2 linked regions of the Ovis aries genome follow. The protein of the gene in region 2 binds, or shares a complex with, the protein of the main gene of each other region. Links are inferred from orthologs where the notes say so. Each region holds a gene or a part of one and is shown on either strand. Other genes may lie near its edges. The genes, in order: EIF3F and EIF3D.

The links.
Region 1: EIF3D (region 2) and EIF3F share a complex: the UniProt entries of both Homo sapiens proteins name them as parts of the eukaryotic translation initiation factor 3 (eIF-3) complex. The link is inferred for Ovis aries from reciprocal best matches to the Homo sapiens genes EIF3D and EIF3F.

The regions. Positions count from the first base shown.
Region 1 is NC_056068.1:44,240,009-44,243,044, forward strand, and holds the end of EIF3F (eukaryotic translation initiation factor 3 subunit F), read right to left. Parts: intron 2,144-3,036; coding exon 2,052-2,143; intron 1,668-2,051; coding exon 1,531-1,667; intron 1,412-1,530; coding exon 920-1,411; coding exon of another isoform or gene 842-919; 3' UTR 687-841; downstream 1-686. UniProt on the Homo sapiens protein: Component of the eukaryotic translation initiation factor 3 (eIF-3) complex, which is required for several steps in the initiation of protein synthesis.
Region 2 is NC_056056.1:180,582,096-180,586,356, forward strand, and holds the start of EIF3D (eukaryotic translation initiation factor 3 subunit D), read right to left. Parts: upstream 3,038-4,261; 5' UTR 2,912-3,037; intron 401-2,911; 5' UTR 391-400; coding exon 268-390; intron 1-267. UniProt on the Homo sapiens protein: mRNA cap-binding component of the eukaryotic translation initiation factor 3 (eIF-3) complex, a complex required for several steps in the initiation of protein synthesis of a specialized repertoire of mRNAs.

The sequences.
Region 1 (3,036 bases), on a different chromosome or scaffold from region 2:
GGCAACATCCCAGACTGCTCCCATCTCTCACCATCCAAGTGTCAACCAGACTCCAGGTCCTCCTTGGGTCTGCCTCCTGAACCCAAGTCTCTGTCACCATCCCCAAGGCCCAGCCTGAACCTGGGCTCTCGTCCTCTCTTGACAATCACAGTGACCCTCTGCCTAGCTCTCTGCCTTCTGTTTTTCTCCCTTTCCCTCCTTCCTCTATACCAGTACCCAGTAATCTTCCTGAAATCCAAATCTAATTATCCAATGCCTTCCCACAACTTCCAGGATAAAAATCCAAACTCCACAGGTTGTGGGCCCTTCTGGTCTGGCTCCTGCCTTCTTAGATTCTAAACAGGTTAAGCAATTTTCCATGTACTTCCTTTGTCCCAATCACCCTTTCCGGATTTCCTGGTTTTAAGAAAAAAACATCAGCTCAGATATCATGTCTTACATAGACTCTGACAGACTCTGGTCAGCCCTTACATTCCCATTATGTTGTATTTTTGCTTTATGAGAGCAGTTATTTCACTGGGCAACTAAACTATGAAGCAGACAGTGGCACAAGAAAAAAATCCAGCCCTGGATTCAGACCACACACACACGACCGCTTCCACCAAAGTACTCACTTCCTAGTTCCTGGGTGAGCTCCAGAACTGCCTTTTCCCTTCCACCCAGAGGGAAACTCACATTAGATGGAATTCACTTACGAAAGGTACTCTATGTTTATTTAGAGTCACAAGCAGTTGATTGACTCAGTGTGACTCAGACCACAGACACCATTTCTCCTTCACTCCATTCTGGGTCCTGGGCTTGGCTGGGGCCCAGTGTAGCAGGAGGGTTGCCCGCGGCCCCTTCACAGGTTCACAAGCTTCTCATTGAGGGCAATTTGTGACTGTGTGAGGTTGGCCAGATATGTCACCATCAACAGGTCCTAGAAGAGAAGGAATCCAGGATGAGTGCGGGGCTGGGTAGAGAGTAAGCAGAAAGGCTGGCCAGCTGTGTGATGGACACTGAGGGTAAGGCAGTCCTGGGCAAATGAAAGCTGGGAGAGGCTGACTGAGAGTAGGAGGAAGACAGAAAGGAAACGCCTGAGAACATCGTCCCATCTCTGATACACCCGAGTCATGGGAAGCAAAGAAACGGCAGGAGAATCTCTGAGCACCTGTGCTCTCCTCCTCACAGCCTGGACTGCAAGGGGGCCAAACGTGCTGCCCCACCTCCTCTGTCCTCTCCAGGCCACCTCCTCCACCCCCTTCACACGTGTACGTGCTGAGGTGCAGGCTCCCAGGAGCCCAGGGACGCCACTCACGTTGATATTGCTGTTGAGCATGGTCTCGAAGTCCTCGGGAACTATTTTGGGTACTTGGTTAACCAGACTCATCAAGAAGCGGCCCACGGTATTGTCGGCTGACACCTTCCCAGACTAAGCACCAAAAGAGTCAATGTAGCACGGTTAATTCTTGCCTCTGAGACCGCGGCTTCGCCAGTGCAGCCCCTGCCGCCTCGCAGCGGAGACCCACGCCCTCCTCCTCCCGTCCTCACCAGCACGTCCTCCGCATACTGCAACACTGTGCTGAGGGCGTCCTGGATGCGAGCGGAAGCCCCGCCCACTTGCTGCAAGTCACTGGAGAGGCCGATCACCCGGTTGGGGCTAAAACAGGTCTTCATGATCAGGTCAACTGTGGGAGCAGGCGGGGTGCAAGAGACAAGAGAATTCAGCCATCCCATCAGAAAAGCGAGCTCTAACTACCTCCTTCTGGACTCAGTCAGCTTCCCTGAACTCCCCACCCCCCCCCCCCCCCCACTAGCTTTTCTTCCTCTGAGAGAGTTCAACTCCTGCACCTAGGATGCTAATCACTAGTTTTGGTCTTATATGACTGGCCACGTAGCCTCTGGGGCTGATGATTTCCCACCTCTAACAACTTCTCAAATAATTCCTTGAGTCCCATACAAACCTTAGATCAATGGTTGCTCTTAAGCCACCCAAGGTCCTCCATCCTTGTTATATAGAAATCCCCTCCCTTGAAAAATGTCCAGGACCTAAAAATGGGGAGGTCACTTACCTCCTATGCGTTCAGTGTCGTAGTATGTGTATTTCACTGTTAGAGGGGTGAACATCACCCCCATGGTCCTCCCAGGAACACCCATTAAAGTGCTGCAGAGACAGAAGTCAAGGTTAACAGATGGCTTTGGGGGACAGTTTCCATGTTCGGTCCTGGCTGGGAAAGCAGGCATATCAAGAGTATGGCTTCCAAGGTTCTGAGATGAGAAGGTTGGACCAGATGAAGCCCAGAGGTCTGAAGAGAACAAGCCACTTTCTTCCCTTAGCTCTTTCCACAAACCAAACTCTTGGCCTGAGAGAATGGACTCAGCATTTGGATGGGGCCTGGACCCTTTACAGAGGATTACTGCACACACTGAAATCTCAGTGAAGAGGACAGGACGCTGAATATCCCTGTGGAACTGGGTGCCTAGACATCCTTCCCCACAGAAAGAAGTGACAGGACAGGTCTCTTCTGGGACCAAAAAGCACTCATCAGCACTGAAAAAAAAAATCTATTCTGGTCCATCAAGATTAGACTGGGTGCAATAATTAATCTCAGTAAAGGTGACTGCCTTTACTTAGTCAACTATACACTTTCGTTGGATCTACAGGAGTCTGAAATATTTGGAAAGGCTAAGAAATCAACAAATAGAGTTTAGTAGTATAATAACTGGCCTGTAAGAACTGACATGCACCACCTCTATCCCACCGCATAATGGTTAACGGGTCACTTCAGCGTCAGAGATAGAAACAGCACAAAGTTAAGTGTCGTAAGAGATGCACTAACAAAGGGCATCATTCCAAGGAGAAAATATAATCCTTTCAACTCCTACAGCCGCCGCTTTTTTGGCATGCCACTATAGCCTTTCCCAACATCCCCCATCACCCAGCATTCCAGTTGCTTGCAAGCTCAATGTGCCAACAGAGCAATGTTACTATCATTCGAACTGTACTATATCCAGGATTAATAGACATGTGTAAGATAAGGACAGCCATTCTTCAAT
Region 2 (4,261 bases):
TGAGCACAACAAGGGAAGGCAGAGAGCACACGTCAACCAGGCAAGTTTCTGCTGACCCAGAAACCCCCTCCTCCCAAGTGAGGACACAGTGTCACAAAGTGTTAGAAAGACTGGCTCAGGATAGCTTCGTAAGAGCCCAGCTCTCCTATGACCACTGGAAGTAGCCAGAGCTTCTAACCATTATCCTTTTGAGAGAATAAAATTGAAATGAACTTGGAGCATCAGCTGCAGCTTTAAAAGATTCAGACCCCGCTGACAGGCAGGCACCTTTCCGAGCCGATCTCCTTTGCTGAACGGCTGGTAGGGCATATCCCGAAACTGCTCCGGAACTGCACAGGGACCCCAGCCTGAGGGGTTGTCCTGGATCACGGGTGTCATGAACTTTGCCATCTTTTAAAACCTTAAAAATACAAATAACAAAGTAACTCCATGAAGAAAAGCCTCTAAAAAACAAACAAACAAAAAAACCCGAAGTCTTCCATTTGAGGTAAGCTAATACAGGATAAAGTTAAAAAAGCAAAACACAGAACAGAACCCTCAACTGCTGAGCTACTCTCCACTTACCATCTTCTTGTGAATAAGACTGTGAATACTTAAAACTCAGACGACTGCTCACCAAATTTATGTATCATATCTCACCATTTGTTTTTTCCCACTGTACTATCTCTGACATGAACCTGCACCTTCTAACTGATGAGGTGTCATACCGTATCTGGCAACTTTTCTTTCTTAGTGTTACATGAAGATATTGTGCTTCTTGAATTCAGTGATGTCTTACAGACTTGATGAAATGTAATTAACTTTTTTTTGAGTTTAATAACCAGGTTCCAGTTTTCATTCACACCTTTACCAGACATACAATATTTAATTCCCCTAAACCTCAGTCTCTTTACCTGAAAAATAATAAGATCCTTGTTTTATTCCCATCAGAGGATCACTGTGAAAGCTGTATATATTAGTTAACATAAGCAGAAATAGTTCCATTGTAAAACGCCAGACACTTACTATTCTGTCTTACAAAAATACATTTACACACAGTGCCGAGAAAAAACAAGGGTCCATGAATGTATCCTGAAATGCAACCTTCCTTTGTTGTTCTTTCAATTTTCTGTTGTCAGTGTAAATTCTTATGCAGGGCATAGAAGTCAGGCAGAAAGCCCAGCAGAAGGTTGAGGAAGCCAGAAGCCTTATGTCATGAAAGTGGCCGAACACAGCCAATGTTCATAAACATTATGAGTACCAGGCATGTTGTTAGCGCTTTCCACACATTAATTCATTAACTCCTCAACAATCTCCTCCCGAGGTAGGGCCAGTATTAGCCCCACTTTCCAGAGAAGAAAACTGAGGCACAGAGATATCAAGAAATCGCCCAAAGTTGCAACACTAATGGATGAAAATCTGAACCCTGGGAAACTGGCTTCAGAGTCCACACTTTGTGTAAGGCCAGTACTCCGCTCAGGAAGAGTAAAAACCAGGGGCTCGACAGATATCTGCCAAACAATTCCTCCCCAAAACTCATGCATGCATTTATCATCCATTCTAATCCCCTGAAAATGCCCAGAAGCTGAGTTCCCAGGGGAAAATTCACCACACAAATATTTCCAGAGTCTGGGGAGCAATCAAAGAGCTGCTGCTGCTAAGTCACTTCAGTCATGTCTGACTCTGTGCGACCTCATAGATGGCAGCCCACCAGGCTCCCCTGTCCCTGAGATTCTCCAGGCAAGAACACTGGAGTGGGTTGCCATTTCTTTCTCCAGTGCATGAAAGTGAAAAGTGAAAGTGAAGTCGCTCAGTTGTATCAATCAAAGAGCAAAGAATACTAAATTTATGAAACTCTCTTCATTTTCCCATGATGGGGAGAGTTCCTAGAGGTGACACTTGCGTGATCCAAAAGGGCATGAACCTGGAAGCCCCATCCTCCTACCTAAACTTAAATTACACTACAGGAAGCGGACTGAGGGAGAGTGTGGTGGTCTCAAAACAATATACCCTTATATATTACCAGGGTCCTACAACATGTCAGATGCAACACCACTAAACCCCTAGGCCCCAATTTCAGATTAAAAAAAAAATACACAGTTCAGCCAAATCAAGCAGCTGATCTCATCATTTCAAGATAGACTTGGTTTCTAGGGTCCTCTGTCTTAAGTGTAACACTCTTCCCATTATTTTACAGCTGGACAGCAGCCTGAAAAGATCCTGGGTTTCAGATCATATCAATAACACAGTGAGATATCTCCAAACACACTTTAAAAGGGGCGGAAGGAAGTCGCTTGGTTTCAACGCGTAAACTAAAAAGTAGGCAGAGTACAATGTAACCAACAGGGGAAACTAAATCTTTCAGTTGAAACGGAGTGACAGCTGTACTGGCTACAGATAAAGGATGGGGCGGCATCAACAGGACAGTCATAGGGAGAACCTTGTGGCTGGCAGGTTACTGCAGATCGTTTGCCAATTCCTGGGCGGTTAATGTCAAATCAGAGATCAACCAACTACATCCTAGCCTTCCATTTCATAGGCAAGGAAAAGAAACATTTAGACGGTGAACTCCTCAGAGCAGGGCCGAACATCGCTCAGTTTGGCACACCCAATAGCCCTCTCGTAGAAGCTCAGGGAACCGTGGGGCACTTTAAAAGACCCTGAGACTCAGCGGGGTTAATGACATGTTCACATCAGAACACACTGTCGGTGGCCGCTAAGCGGACTCCACGGAAAGAGACCTCAACCACAGGCTCTGCCCCGCACTGGGTCGGACCTGGGGGGACCGAAGGCGGATTCCTGCCCCTCCCAGCGGAGGTACAGGGAAGCAGGAGGGGGCGTACGGAAGTCTCTTCCGGCAGGCCCCCGAAGGCCAGGCGCAGCTCAACTCTGCTCTGGAGATCCGCGGAAGCGTACGGAATACGCTGCTTACCTGTAACGGCCGTAACCGGCCCCGATGGTGAGAGATAGTCTAGGCCGAATACCGCGCCACCGCCTGAGCTACGGGGAACCGGGAAAGGAGGAAACATGCGCGCGCAGCGGCCGGCACCGTAAATACGACCGACGGTGTCGTAAACTGCTTCTTGGCTTCCTTCCGGTTCGACGGCGGAACACGCGAGTCGTAAAGCGAAGGCACATCCGGAAGTTCGTCCCTGTTCTCTTCGCGGTGTTCTTATTTAGCCTTCGAGGATGTTTACAGTTACGTCATGGGGCATCCGGCGACACTCCGAGAGTTTCAAGTTTCTTGAAACGTGGCGGCCTTGTAGTTGGAGTTGGAAGCGGCGACTGGCTGAAAGCCCCTCTATGTCCCACAATGCCTTGCGGGCCGCTCTGGCCCTCTGTATCCCACAACGACCCGCGGCTTCTGCCTTCTTTAAAAGATCGTGTTGTTTGAGTTTCACCGTTAGGGGGAGTTCGAGTCTTTCAGGCAGGTTTTTGCGGCTACTCGCTGAGCTTTGAGCGCTTTCGGAAACAGACCAGGAGGTGCAAAGTGACCTGAGTAGATCAGACTACTAGTGTCGGAGGTCGCTGCCAGTGTTCAAACCATACCTCCACAGTTCTCAGACTTTCTTGTTTGACAAAGATTCCTGGAGAGCTAATTTGAAAAATGAAGATTCCGGGTCCCCTTCCATAGACTGTTATACAAGCGTGGCTTAGCTGGAGCCCAGAAACCTGCATTTTAATTGGTGGTGATTCTGAAGTGGCGACTCAGGAACCACCTGGCTACGATGGCAACGGTGCTGTCTTTTTGGAAACTCAGCCTACGGAGTTTGTCCTGCAGCACGCCAGGCCTCCCTGTCCATCACCAACTCCCGGAGTTCACTCAAACTCACGTCCTTCAAGTAGGTGATGCCATCCAGCCATCTCATCCTCTGTCGTCCCCTTCTCCTCCTGCCCCCAATCCCTCCCCAGCATCAGAGTCTTTTCCAATGAGTCAACTTCGCATGAAGTGGCCAAAGTACTGGAGTTTCAGCTTTAGCATCATTCCTTCCAAAGAACACCCAGGACTGATCTCTTTCAGAATGGACTGGTTGGATCTCCTTACAGTCCAAGGGGCTCTCAAGAATCTTCTCCAACACCACAGTTCAAAAGCATCAGTTCTTCGATGCTCAGCTTTCTTCACAGTCCAACTCTCACATCCATACATGACCACTGGAAAACCATAGCCTTGACTAGGCGGACCTTTGTTGGCAAAGTAATGTCTCTGCTTTTGAATATGCTATCTAGGTTGGTCATAACTTCCTTTCCAAGGAGTAAGCGTCTTTTAATTTCATGGCTGCAG